Arabidopsis thaliana: one gene and its partners. The protein of the gene in region 1 interacts with the protein of each later gene in a pairwise test. Each region holds a gene or a part of one and is shown in the gene's direction. Other genes may lie near its edges.

The links.
Region 2: the proteins of BBX30 (region 1) and COL9 interact in binary tests that used the Arabidopsis thaliana proteins (3 or more experiments, as listed by UniProt).
Region 3: the proteins of BBX30 (region 1) and AT2G33710 interact in binary tests that used the Arabidopsis thaliana proteins (3 or more experiments, as listed by UniProt).

The regions. Positions count from the first base shown.
Region 1 is NC_003075.7:8,706,998-8,710,005, forward strand, and holds BBX30 (B-box type zinc finger family protein), read left to right. Parts: upstream 1-1,843; 5' UTR 1,844-1,883; coding exon 1,884-2,237; 3' UTR 2,238-2,485; downstream 2,486-3,008. Other genes in the region: AT4G15245 (uncharacterized protein), read left to right, coding at 1-51; BBX9 (B-box type zinc finger protein with CCT domain-containing protein), read right to left, coding at 2,945-3,008. UniProt on the Arabidopsis thaliana protein: Developmental regulator acting by forming heterodimeric complexes, that sequester CO and CO-like (COL) proteins into non-functional complexes. Engages CO and the transcriptional repressor TPL in a tripartite complex.
Region 2 is NC_003074.8:2,439,522-2,445,104, forward strand, and holds COL9 (CONSTANS-like 9), read left to right. Parts: upstream 1-2,047; 5' UTR 2,048-2,319; intron 2,320-2,941; exon of another isoform or gene 2,942-2,944; 5' UTR 2,945-2,972; coding exon 2,973-3,500; intron 3,501-3,601; coding exon 3,602-3,772; intron 3,773-3,865; coding exon 3,866-4,155; intron 4,156-4,250; coding exon 4,251-4,380; 3' UTR 4,381-5,011; downstream 5,012-5,583. Other genes in the region: AT3G07640 (period circadian protein), read left to right, coding at 12-140.
Region 3 is NC_003071.7:14,258,179-14,262,434, reverse strand, and holds AT2G33710 (Integrase-type DNA-binding superfamily protein), read left to right. Parts: upstream 1-1,695; 5' UTR 1,696-1,782; coding exon 1,783-1,963; intron 1,964-2,688; coding exon 2,689-3,128; coding exon of another isoform or gene 3,129-3,164; exon of another isoform or gene 3,165-3,395; coding exon 3,396-3,470; 3' UTR 3,471-3,626; downstream 3,627-4,256.

The DNA.
Region 1 (3,008 bases):
GCTAACTATATTGGAAGTATAGAACCTATAAAGAATATTTCTCGAATGTAATTTAACAGTTAAGGGTTAATTAGTTAAAATTAGAATTCAAAGAGTGAGAAGTTTCGAATAGTTGCGGTGGTTAGGACGGACAAATCCTTTTACGATTTAAACCGTTTTTTGTTTACCATTCATAAGCTATAATCCGTAGTAGTATGGATTGAGAAAATAGAACAAGTCTGCATCGGACTAACTATGTACTGCTTTTACATATAAAAAAACTTGGTCTGTGGTTGTTTGTTGTCTGCTTCAAAAATAAAGTGATATGTTTCGTTAGCGGTTTAGTTCACTTTTTTCATTGCATTCATTCAAAACCTAAAACATAAACTGTGAAACGCATAAAGTTTTTATTCGTGAAATTTTTTGGTCATTCTGATGATAAATTTGGTCGAATCATCATTAAATATATCATTTAAACGTCATTAAATTAACGATGAATTAACTAAGTGTTTACCAACTAATTATCAACGATAATTTTATCAGTATATCATAAATTTGTTATGTATACGTTACCATTTCGAGTTTAAATGGTGATAATAGTCGAGATGGACATATTCATCAACGGTTTAGTATGTTCTATTTTTACTGCAGACAATAAACTGTCGCGTCGCAGACCAACTCTATTTGTATGTTAAAGCGGTTCGTAGCTAGTTCACAACAAACTTTTTAAGAAAAAAATCTCTGCTTACAATACACAATTTATAAATAGTAAATAAAAATTCAGCTCAGTCTACAAAGAGATTTGACGGCATTAACCGCTGCAACCATTAGGGGATATTCAACTTTGACAGTTTCGGAGGATGTACGTCTCCTAGAAAATAAGAAATTAATTATTTTAATCGTTAAAAGAAATTACTTTAATCATGAACCATGCAAGTGAAGTTCCTTTTTTTTTCCTTTTGCGAGCAAACTCGTAATAAAATATAAAGTTAAAATAGTTAACCACCACACACACAATGACACGAAGACACCCAATAACGTAGAGACTGTCCCGACCCGATATTCAATATATTTCTGAATGCTCACATAGTCACATAATCTTTAATAATTGTAATCAGTGGGACATTGATTCTCTAACCACTTCTTCGGCGATGAATTTTTCTAGACTAAACGAGTAACTAGTTAATAGTAAAATTTAGAGTAATTGGCTGCACTGCACCCATGGCCATCATGAGTCACCTAAATTACATTAAATTGAATGTATCTCTCTTTCTTCATCTTCTTCAACGCTTCATTCCACACTCGTAGATTTTCTTGACTCTTGTATCAATTCAGATTAAGAAAAAGGTACATTTCTTTGGTAGATGTTATGACTGCTCATAAATTTATAAAAACGAACAGAAATAGTTTTAAAAAAAAAAGAAATATTATAATCTAAGTGAAAACATGATTGAAAACAAATGATAGTATGTTACACAATTTCTCGTTCATATATTATCTTTTTAAAACAAACCAAAAACTTGCACAGTAGTTTAATGAATAATCACTAATAAATTCATATACTATTATTATATACTCCCTTTTTATAGACCACAAAAATGCTATGATTCATGATTCATTCTAGAACGTGATTGTGATATGTGACAATGAGCGAGTCATACTAGTCAACTACTCGAAACTTGTGTATCAAACATGAGGACGAGAGATCGTCTGGTGGAGGGAAAATAACTAAATTATTGACAATTTGGTCCTCTAGGGACACTCACATCAAACCAATAGGTCAATATTTTTCCACGTGTACAACCAGTTTAATGACAATTTCATAATATCCATTTGCTTTAAATAACAATCATTCCTATATAAACCTAAATCTTGAACACAAGAGAGACAAAGAAAGAGTAAAGATGTGTAGAGGGTTTGAGAAAGAAGAAGAGAGAAGAAGCGACAATGGAGGATGCCAAAGACTATGCACGGAGAGTCACAAAGCTCCGGTAAGCTGTGAGCTTTGCGGCGAGAACGCCACCGTGTATTGTGAGGCAGACGCAGCTTTCCTTTGTAGGAAATGCGATCGATGGGTCCATTCTGCTAATTTTCTAGCTCGGAGACATCTCCGGCGCGTGATCTGCACGACCTGTCGGAAGCTAACTCGTCGATGTCTTGTCGGTGATAATTTTAATGTTGTTTTACCGGAGATAAGGATGATAGCAAGGATTGAAGAACATAGTAGTGATCACAAAATTCCCTTTGTGTTTCTCTGATTTTATGTTTTGTTTTTCGCGTAATTAAGATTAAATATTGGTAGGGTTTTTTCTCTGGAAATGTTCTAAGAATGTATATTTTCATTCTAAAGCTTAAAAGTAATATATGAACACCTAGAAAACATATTGATTTAATAGTAAAATAATGCGGTCCCAATAGTAAGCTATAAGAAATCAAGAACAAATCTTCCTATGGCAAACATAATCTGCCTTTATTCTTTGGCTTTATTTTTCTTAACTAGGAAAACAATACAACGTTACAAATTACAATCAAGTGAAATGGAAGGTGGAGAGTGGTCCAAAACACAAAGAAGATATATTTTTCTATGATTAACATGTAATTGAGATTAAGGAGCTATAAGTAGGAAAGAGTCAACGACTCTTGTTTTGTTTTTTGGTTTCTGATTTTGTCTGATCGTCTCGTAGCTGTATGCCTAATTAATGCCTGTATGACCGGTAGGTTTTGTGGTTGCATCAAAAAACAGTGGAAATTCTCTAGTAAAAAGAGCAACTTTCAGTTTTTTTTTTTTTTAATCTCCATTTTGGAATCACCTTTGCGATGATTTTAAGTCTTTGTAGTTTGATCTTGTATACTTTCTCAAGAAGAGAATTTTATGTTTTTTTTTTGTTACTTCTCCGACAAGAAACTGTTAATCCCGTGGATGGAGTCAGATTATTCTTTAGTTCCGCAGTGAAGATTCACTAGTTCACATCACCAGTGACGGATCATACTCAAAAGTTTCTCCAGATTTTACAAATCTCCCTTTGACC
Region 2 (5,583 bases), on another chromosome or scaffold:
TGTCATCACAGGTGATCCATGAAACAGGGGAGCTCGTGGCTAGTTGGACAGGACTGTCTTTCTCAAGAGACAGAATCAAGTGGAGCGCATCAAAGACATCAAAAGAAGAAGAAAGTCCGTGGCGTGCTCTTTATGGCTAATCTTCACAGGTCAGGTCTTTTTCATGGCCCAACACTGCTACAGTCTTTGCTTGGACCTGCAGTAAATTTCCCTATTGTAGTAGTACCCTTTTGTTAAAATTCTTATGCTCAGCAGAACCAAATCCACGTCACTCTGCTTTTTCTAGGATATTTATTTATGAAAGAAACAGTTTCTTTTTTTTTGGGCTGACTTGGTTCAACCAAATCTTAAACTCTCAGAAGCATTTTGATTTAAAGGTACATATATTTGGTCAACTCATGGGAGGATCATAACATAGGAGTGGGATTACTTAATATAATACAAATGATTAGAGTTATGATTGGTGGGAGAGGCATAAAAAAAGAGAGATTAAAATTGGTGTGAAGTCCATAAAAGGCACTCATGAAGTATAGTAATAGAGATAGTTAATGTTATCTTAAGAGAAAATAAGTGAGGTGTCGTCAGCTCTGCTAACTGCTAAGCCGGTTGTTTAATAATAGGATATTGATGAAGAAGAAGGAATACGATGTTTTGTACCAAAGTTTTTCGGATCGTCCGAGAATCTTATCCTACTGACATTTCAGCATCATATGTTATTTTTTTTGTTTGTTGTTTTTATATATCTTGTTCGATCTTTTTAGTGCGTCTTATCGTCGCCTTTTCGCTTTCATTATCATTTGATTAGATGACTACTATTCACTTATTTGCCAGGCAGATTTGTTAATATTTTAACCAATTAGGGTCTTTGATCATTCGTCTTTGATTGGATACATACGAGTCTGGATAAAGAGCAATTCATTTTGATGTTTTCTTAATTGAGAACGAAACACAATATTAACTCACCATTAACTAATACTATATTATATGAGTTTAAAAATTAACACTTGCTCAATTTCAAAAACAATAGTTTTCTGATTAACAATGCATCATTTCAATTCGACTTCTCATCTTGTAATTATAAACTTTGAACTGAAGTTATGATCAATTATTTAGTGGTACTAAATCGTATATTCAATAGGAACTTAAATTGTAAACATGTGAAAACAGTCAGACACTTAAAAAAATGGAGGTGGGGTTTCATCCAAGACTTAACCATCATTCTTTCATATTTGGTCTATCATGTTTTGCTTTTTTATATTACTCAATTTAATAAATCGATATCGAGTACCCAAGAAATCGAAATAAAGAAATGGGTTTAAGTAAACCGGTGAACAATATTAATATGAGGAAAGAAAAAGGACAAAAGAGAGATCTATCATATTGATTTCATTATTTTTCAGCGACTTTATGATTATTATTTTTATGAAGAATATTGGGGCAAAGGCTAGTAGTACGTAGACGTAGTGTGAAATATCTTTCTGGTCTGAAAGAGTTATACAGACGTATCTAACTTGGCAGATATTTTTTGGTTTTCATTCAGTTCTCTCTCCCCTCAATGATAAATATCATTAATTTATTTTATTTGTTCTACCAAAAGAAGATATTTTTGTTATATACGCCCACCGAAAAATGAAGAAGAAGAAGATATTTTTGGCTTTTGTAAGGTCAAAGCAAACAGATTTATCAATTATTATTATTATTATCTGAGACTGAGAGAGAGAGAGAGAGGGAGATTTTCTGAATTCTGATTCGTCGAAAAGCATCAAAAAAGTGAACGCTTGAGAATCCATTATGGCACAAACTAGCCACTTGGTAACTTCCACGTCGCGAGTAGATTATCTTCAATACTCGCATGCGCGTGAGTAAAAAACATACAACCTTTTTTTCTTTTCTTTCTAATAGTAATATCTTTAAGAAATATCCATAAAAATTTTATTGCTTTCACTATAAATACGAGAGGGACCCACAATACCCTACACGAACTTTTTTGCACTTTTTCGTCTTTTTAATTAATAAAAAAAAGAAAGAGAAGGAAGGAAATTAGGCACTTTTGATAAATCAGATTATGTCAGAAGCGCCTACATGTCCCTTTGCGGACACACCCACCCATTGTCTATCCATTCATTTTTTTTTTTCATTTCTTCCTCCAGAGAGAGAGAGAGAAGCCACAACAAGAAGAAGAAGAAGAAGAAGAAGAAGAAGAAGTTCTGGAATAGTCATCATCTTCTCTGTTTCTAGGCTTTGTTTATTTGTCTCTAAAGTTTCTGGATTCAACTTCTGAAGAAGATAGTAGTAGTCCACAAGAAGGATCTTCTTTACGTGAGTTGTTTGTTTCTCTTCTCCCTCTGTCTTTTCTTTTCTGATTTTAATAATCCCAAGTGTGTTCTTATTTTCTTGCTATCTGTTGTATAATTGGTGTTAGTGATTGATTATTCATTGTATATCGATGAAGGGTTGGTTTTGATTTTTGTTGAATTGGATCTTTTGATTTGGGGTTTTAAAACTTGTTCGGATGATGATGATTGGGATTGATCCAAAAGTTTTCGTTATTTATTGGAAATTCAGATTTTTTCGATTCAGTTCCATTTGAACTAGTAAGTCAAACAAAATCTCTAGATTTACTGATCTGGGGTTTATACTTTGAAGCTTGAGTTGTTGTTGTTTTATTAATTTATTTCGATTTTCAGTAATATCCATTTGTAGGTTTTGGTCTCTGACTCTTGTTTATAATAAAAGCTCTGTATTGAGTAAAATCTCATGAAAGTAGGTTTCCTTTCCCTTTTTTATCCTTCTCCTTTGGTTATTAATCTCCTACAACCTTTTTTTAGAAATTACTACCTATATTCAGAAAGATTCCATCTATTTCTTCTTCAAGGCTTGCTTTTTTGAACCAAAAGTCTCTCTCTTTTTCATCTAATAATTTGTTTACTTTTTTGGACAGCAGAAAGTTGATTTGGTCAGAGCCAAGGAAGATGGGTTACATGTGTGACTTCTGTGGTGAACAAAGATCTATGGTGTACTGTCGATCCGATGCAGCTTGTTTGTGTCTCTCCTGTGACCGGAGTGTTCATTCCGCTAATGCATTGTCCAAACGACATTCTCGGACACTTGTCTGCGAGAGATGCAATGCTCAGCCTGCTACTGTCAGGTGTGTTGAAGAAAGGGTTTCACTCTGTCAAAACTGTGACTGGTCTGGCCACAACAACAGCAACAACAACAATTCTTCGTCTTCTTCTACTTCGCCGCAGCAGCATAAGAGGCAAACCATAAGTTGCTATTCGGGTTGCCCTTCCAGCTCAGAACTCGCTTCCATTTGGTCTTTCTGTTTGGACTTAGCTGGACAATCTATTTGTGAACAAGAACTGGGTATGATGAATATAGACGATGATGGTCCTACCGACAAGAAAACTTGTAATGAGGATAAGAAAGATGTCTTGGTTGGATCCTCTTCAATTCCTGAAACCAGTTCTGTACCACAAGGAAAATCATCTTCTGCTAAGGTAACTTTTTTTCTCAATATGTTATTACTTTTGCATCCATGGATATACATATCTATCATTTCTTTACTAAATTCAGAGTTGTTGTTTGTTTTGGTTTAAAGGATGTTGGAATGTGTGAAGATGACTTCTACGGGAACCTTGGTATGGATGAAGTTGACATGGCACTTGAGAACTATGAAGAACTCTTTGGTACCGCCTTTAACCCCTCTGAAGAGCTATTCGGGCATGGTGGAATCGATAGCCTTTTCCATAAGCACCAAACAGCTCCAGAGGTTTTTATCCATTACCCTTTCTTCTTAGATTTATCAAATTGGATGCATCTCTGTGTGATTCTAATAATGCTCTCTTGTTTTTGCTCAATCCAGGGAGGGAATTCGGTGCAGCCAGCAGGCAGTAATGATTCGTTCATGAGTTCGAAAACTGAGCCAATAATTTGCTTCGCATCGAAGCCAGCACATTCGAACATATCCTTCTCTGGAGTCACTGGAGAAAGTAGTGCTGGAGATTTCCAAGAATGTGGTGCATCATCTTCCATACAGCTCTCGGGGGAGCCACCATGGTATCCTCCAACATTACAGGATAACAATGCCTGCTCACATTCAGTAACCCGTAATAACGCAGTTATGCGTTACAAGGAGAAGAAGAAGGCTCGCAAGTAAGTAGTAGTCTGAAACTGCAAATACATGAGCATCATTGAAGTGAGTGCAGGATTTTCCTAATGTGACTCTGGCTTCTTTTTTCTGGAAACAGGTTTGATAAGAGAGTGAGGTATGCTTCCCGCAAAGCAAGAGCTGATGTGAGACGGCGTGTAAAGGGGCGATTTGTCAAAGCTGGTGAAGCTTATGATTACGACCCTCTCACCCCAACCAGAAGTTATTGAAGACTCCTTTTGAAAGGTACATAGATATATATACATGGCGAAGAATCGAACAAGAAAGGTTTTGACTTATGGGCAGTTTCAAGTGAGCAACTTGGAAAATTGTGGGTTAGTAACAAAACAAGACTACTGTAGCATGAACAGATTTCAAGACTGACTCTTGTAAGCAATCATTCATTCTTGGGATTCAATCGTTTTTTTTGGCCTCAGAAGCTTCATTCTTGACCAGAGGGATTATTCTCTGACTTTCCTTGTCCAAACTCCGGTTTCTTCTTCTTCTTCTTCAGGCGTCTCACACTGATCAGGGTTCCATGAATTTTGTTCTTCTCTTGGTAGTTAAAAAGGCAGGGAAGGAGATTTAGAGTAATTTAAACAATATGTGATTGTTGTATATGCCTTTGTATTTGTTTGTATACTCATAAATGTTTTTCTGTTTTGTACTCGGCATTCTTGTAAATTAAAGACATTATCCACATTCTTCTATAGACAAAGAAAGTTATGTGGTACCACTTAACCTAAGTCTCGTTCTGTAACAACCGACTAGTACTAGTTCAAGTTTAACGAGATTTTGGTTTGTAGTAACTTCAAGAGGTTGATCCAACAATGAGGCAATGCAAAACATCTGAACTTTATTATTTAAATGTCAGATTATAAAGGGGAGTCCATTTATGTGAGTTTAGGCGCTTTATCGCTGTTTACTTAAACTTAGCTTCTACTATGTCAATTTTGAACACTTATCAAAAGTGATTGAGATGCAAAACAGTAGTTTTCAAGATGACATATGGACCAAAAGTTTTTAACATTTATATTTGGAGTATTTCGGATTTTACAACTTAATGTGAATTTTCTTGAAGACTCATATTCACAAGCCTTAATTTTCGAATTGAGGAATAAACATTCAGAGAAAGTTGATTCGCGAGCAAGAAATTTGTCCAATTTGATTGCTGACTCGGATTTGAAAACATTGACCAAAGGCTAAGAAAAGAAGGAAGAGAGGAAGAGTCTTCAGATACAGACTCAGGTAGCAAAGTTCTTGTCTTAGCTCAGAAACTTAAAAAGAGAGCTAAAAAAGACCTCTTAAAAGCTAAGAAAGAAAAAAATTTGCTAAATCAAAAGAAAAAAAAAAAGATATAGAAAACACCAAAACACTGGTTTCATACAATACCTTTCCCTACCCTTATGATCATTCTCTCTGTAAATCTCCTT
Region 3 (4,256 bases), on another chromosome or scaffold:
TTACTGATATTTACAATTTAGCAACAACAAAAAAAATAAACACAAACAAATATCGATCAAAGCGTTCTGACTAGATCATGTGGTTTAGATCAAAATTAAAGCACTATCGTAACTAAACATACGTAATTTATTATAGTATTACAATGTGTTCATCTAATTGAATAGATGGCATACTAAGTAAAAAAGATGAATGCAACAATCAATGTATATACATAATTCAATAAATACTTAATTAAAAGATATAAATACAAATATAACACTAGGTCAAAGTTGGCCAATAAGAATAATTCTTTTGTGGCAATCATATAGACTACGGCATGGTCTTATGCTATTGGTGTGAGATTGGAGTTGATTTGTTCGTGCGAAGTTTGCTCTGACTATAATATTCAATGTTGACCACATATTATGTAAGCCCATACGTCATCTAGGTCTTTAAATCAATATCTTATATGACACACTTTTAGATTCCCCATTCGGTCAAATGTTTTATTAATTTAGAAAGTAAGTTTATATTGTTTCAGGTTATGTTTTTGTTTGTTAAATATTGTGCTTTTTCTTCAACCACAAGTTTATATGATTGAAAAATAATTCATCAACATCATGCATGTAATGACAATATTTTTTTTGTTTTTGTGTTTCTGATAAGGCGCAATGACAATATTCAACCCCATAAAAAAATCCCTCAACCATTTTTAAAATGGCACGAATCGTCCAAATTGCTTATAATAGAAATATTAGATTAGAATCCACAGTCAGATCCCACATATTATTATTAAAGAGATTCATCGCATATTCCATTCCAGTTGTTTTATGATGACTTGTGCAGAGTGTATTCCGTAAAACTATATATGTAGCGAATAGAAACAGAGTTTGTCCTTTAATTTTGAATATTCATCCTAATTAACCATGAACTTTTATATATTACATAAAACAATTTAAAAACACACTCAACTGTATTGGATGACATAAGCGACTTTTAATTAGCAAAAATATTATGCTATTTTATTTATGTGATTTATACAGTACGTTGTTTATTAAAATAAAATGATTGTGCAAAACACATATGTATCTATATATATATATATATATATATATATAAAGACATTAAAGTCAAATGATAGAAAATACATTATTTACCTAAATAATTGGTGTTTACATGTTTATATATATTAAAGTGTTTCTTTGATTATATGTTTGTCATTTGCTCATTTACCTAAATAATTAGATATTCATCATGGTCATTTAGGTAAATTAATTTTTTGGTGAGTCATTTAGGTAAATTATTAACCCTTTAATGTTCAGGATGAAAATAATTATTTAAATCCACCACATATATAATAAATAATTAATTTTAACTTAAAATGTTGACCGTAATTAACACAAGACTTGGATCATAATTAATGAATTTTGTATAAGACAGTCGTTTTTTTTTTCGTCTTTTGAGACACGCAATCGATTTTGGGTTAACACAAACCATTAATACAACTACATAGTGGGTCGGTCGATGCAGTCCGTAATGTAACGTTTGTTAAGGAAAATTAAAGAGATGAATACAAAGAATTGTTTTTAAGGAACAAAAAAGTGTGTGTAATGTTTATGACCAAAATATCCTCTAGGTTAGACAAACTCTCTATAATATTGGTCAACAAATACATGCGTGTGCGTCTATATATAACATAGATGCAGAGAATAGACATCTTTGCTGGTTCTTTGGCTTGTACCCAAACCCATCTTTGACTTCAAAAATAAAATAAAAATAATCATAATTGACATCATCGGATAATGCATAGCGGGAAGAGACCTCTATCACCAGAATCAATGGCCGGAAATAGAGAAGAGAAAAAAGAGTTGTGTTGTTGCTCAACTTTGTCGGAATCTGATGTGTCTGATTTTGTCTCTGAACTCACTGGTCAACCCATCCCATCATCCATTGATGATCAATCTTCGTCGCTTACTCTTCAAGGTAATTTCATCAGATCCTTTTTCCAATAATTTTAATTGCTATACTTTATAACTCGAGTGATTGTCTTTTCCATTGGTGATTCTCTTTACACATAGGAATGATTTAATCTTGGATTTTGCAATTGGTAATCCTTTAGTGGCTGCAGCATGGCCTTGATCAAATAGAGATATAATTTCATGTATGGCCACAATGCATTAGTTCAATTTACTATATGATTTTTTTAATGAATGTTCATGGTTAGATTTTCTTGAAAAAACCTGTCGGCTTTATTGGTTGGACAAAATTGATCATATTTGGCTTTCGGACAAATATGATTGGCAAGGCTTGGTTGCAATGGTCGTATTTTGGTTGAGATAACTAGCCAGAGAGAGTTTTAGGATTGTAACATGGGGAAAACGTATTTAAAATGATCAAACTTAATTTATATCCTAATTATATCATTGGTGTGATACATAAGTATATATATAGTTAATTACCAATTACGAGAGAGAGGAATGTATAAATGTAGGTTTGGCCTAATATATAGATTTCATAAGTAGATGTAGAAGAGGGGAATAAAAGTTGATGTAGAATGATCATATCATATGATTCAAACGCCCTTTAATAATCTTTACGAAATGCCTCTACACCGATAGTATACGTTATATTCATAGACATGCACGTCACATTTAAGTCACCATTTTCATGACAAGAGTGAACTTACAATTTTCATCATTTTTCTACAGAAAAAAGTAACTCGAGGCAACGAAACTACAGAGGCGTGAGGCAAAGACCGTGGGGAAAATGGGCGGCTGAGATTCGTGACCCGAACAAGGCAGCTCGTGTGTGGCTTGGGACGTTCGACACTGCAGAAGAAGCCGCCTTAGCGTATGATAAAGCTGCATTTGAGTTTAGAGGTCACAAGGCCAAGCTTAACTTCCCCGAGCATATTCGTGTCAACCCTACTCAACTCTATCCATCGCCCGCTACTTCCCATGATCGCATTATCGTGACACCACCTAGTCCACCTCCACCAATTGCTCCTGACATACTTCTTGATCAATATGGCCACTTTCAATCTCGAAGTAGTGATTCCAGTGCCAACTTGTCCATGAATATGCTGTCTTCTTCGTCTTCATCTTTGAATCATCAAGGGCTAAGACCAAATTTGGAGGATGGTGAAAACGTGAAGAACATTAGTATCCACAAACGACGAAAATAACATGTTAATGGCATAAATATCTCTTCGTCCAAGTTATCAAACGCATTGACCTCCGGCTTTGATCATTTTAGGCGCTTAATCTCTTTACGACTTCATTTTGGTAGTCTTTAAAGAGTCTATGGAGTGGATTTAGCTAGGAATCAGGCCTTATGGATGAAAAATATATAAATTTTGAACATGACTATGCAAGAATGGGATGAAGACTACTTAGCTTGGAAAACGTCCTGATAGGTCATGACGACTATATCCACAGAAGATGACCGACGGAGACAACAACATGCCTCACCTGATCGACCGATCAAATGAGATAATGTGTTGACCGGACCGGTCGGATCAGGTTGGGTCGAGTATATCAGGTAGAAAAAAGCTCGTACATGGTGCTTTATGTCTTTCCACTCCGAAGTAGCTTGCTAGTTTATCCTTTTGTATCACGTACGAAAGAGATAAAAAAAAAAGTTCAAAAACAAATATAGAGGGTATACACATGATGAGGGTGTTCGAGTTTCCAAAACATAAGCTAAATTTTTTTAAATATGTACTTACATTTATATCTGTCTTATTATCCAATGCTCATATATTTTTCAACGCGTTGAATGATGAAATGGTTGGTAAATAAAAATGAAACTAAACTAGGTAACAGTCTGCATATGAAACGATTAAAAAACGATTCAAGTAAAATTATTATAAATAAATTATTATATAGGATACACATATCGACTGCTAGTGTATAAAACAAAACATGTAGTAAAAGTTTTTTTGTTCTATTCAAATTTGCGATTATTTCATATAAGTGTATCTTTCACCAGTTAAATAACTGAATGGAGAAAAAGGTTCAACATTATGAAAAATTATTCATGAAAATTATTATCTGTGAAAATATGTTTTATGTTTTTAAAAATCAAATTCACATCTTGTGTGTTTTATTGAGTAATCAGAACCATTTAACCTGTTTTTTGCAAAAAAAAAAAAAAATCACGTAATTTGATGGACAAATCCACAAAGAATCGCGATCACAAAATTAAAATCAGAACTAATATGCCTCTTAGATGATTACATGTGGACACTATCAAATCTACACTATTTATGTTAAAT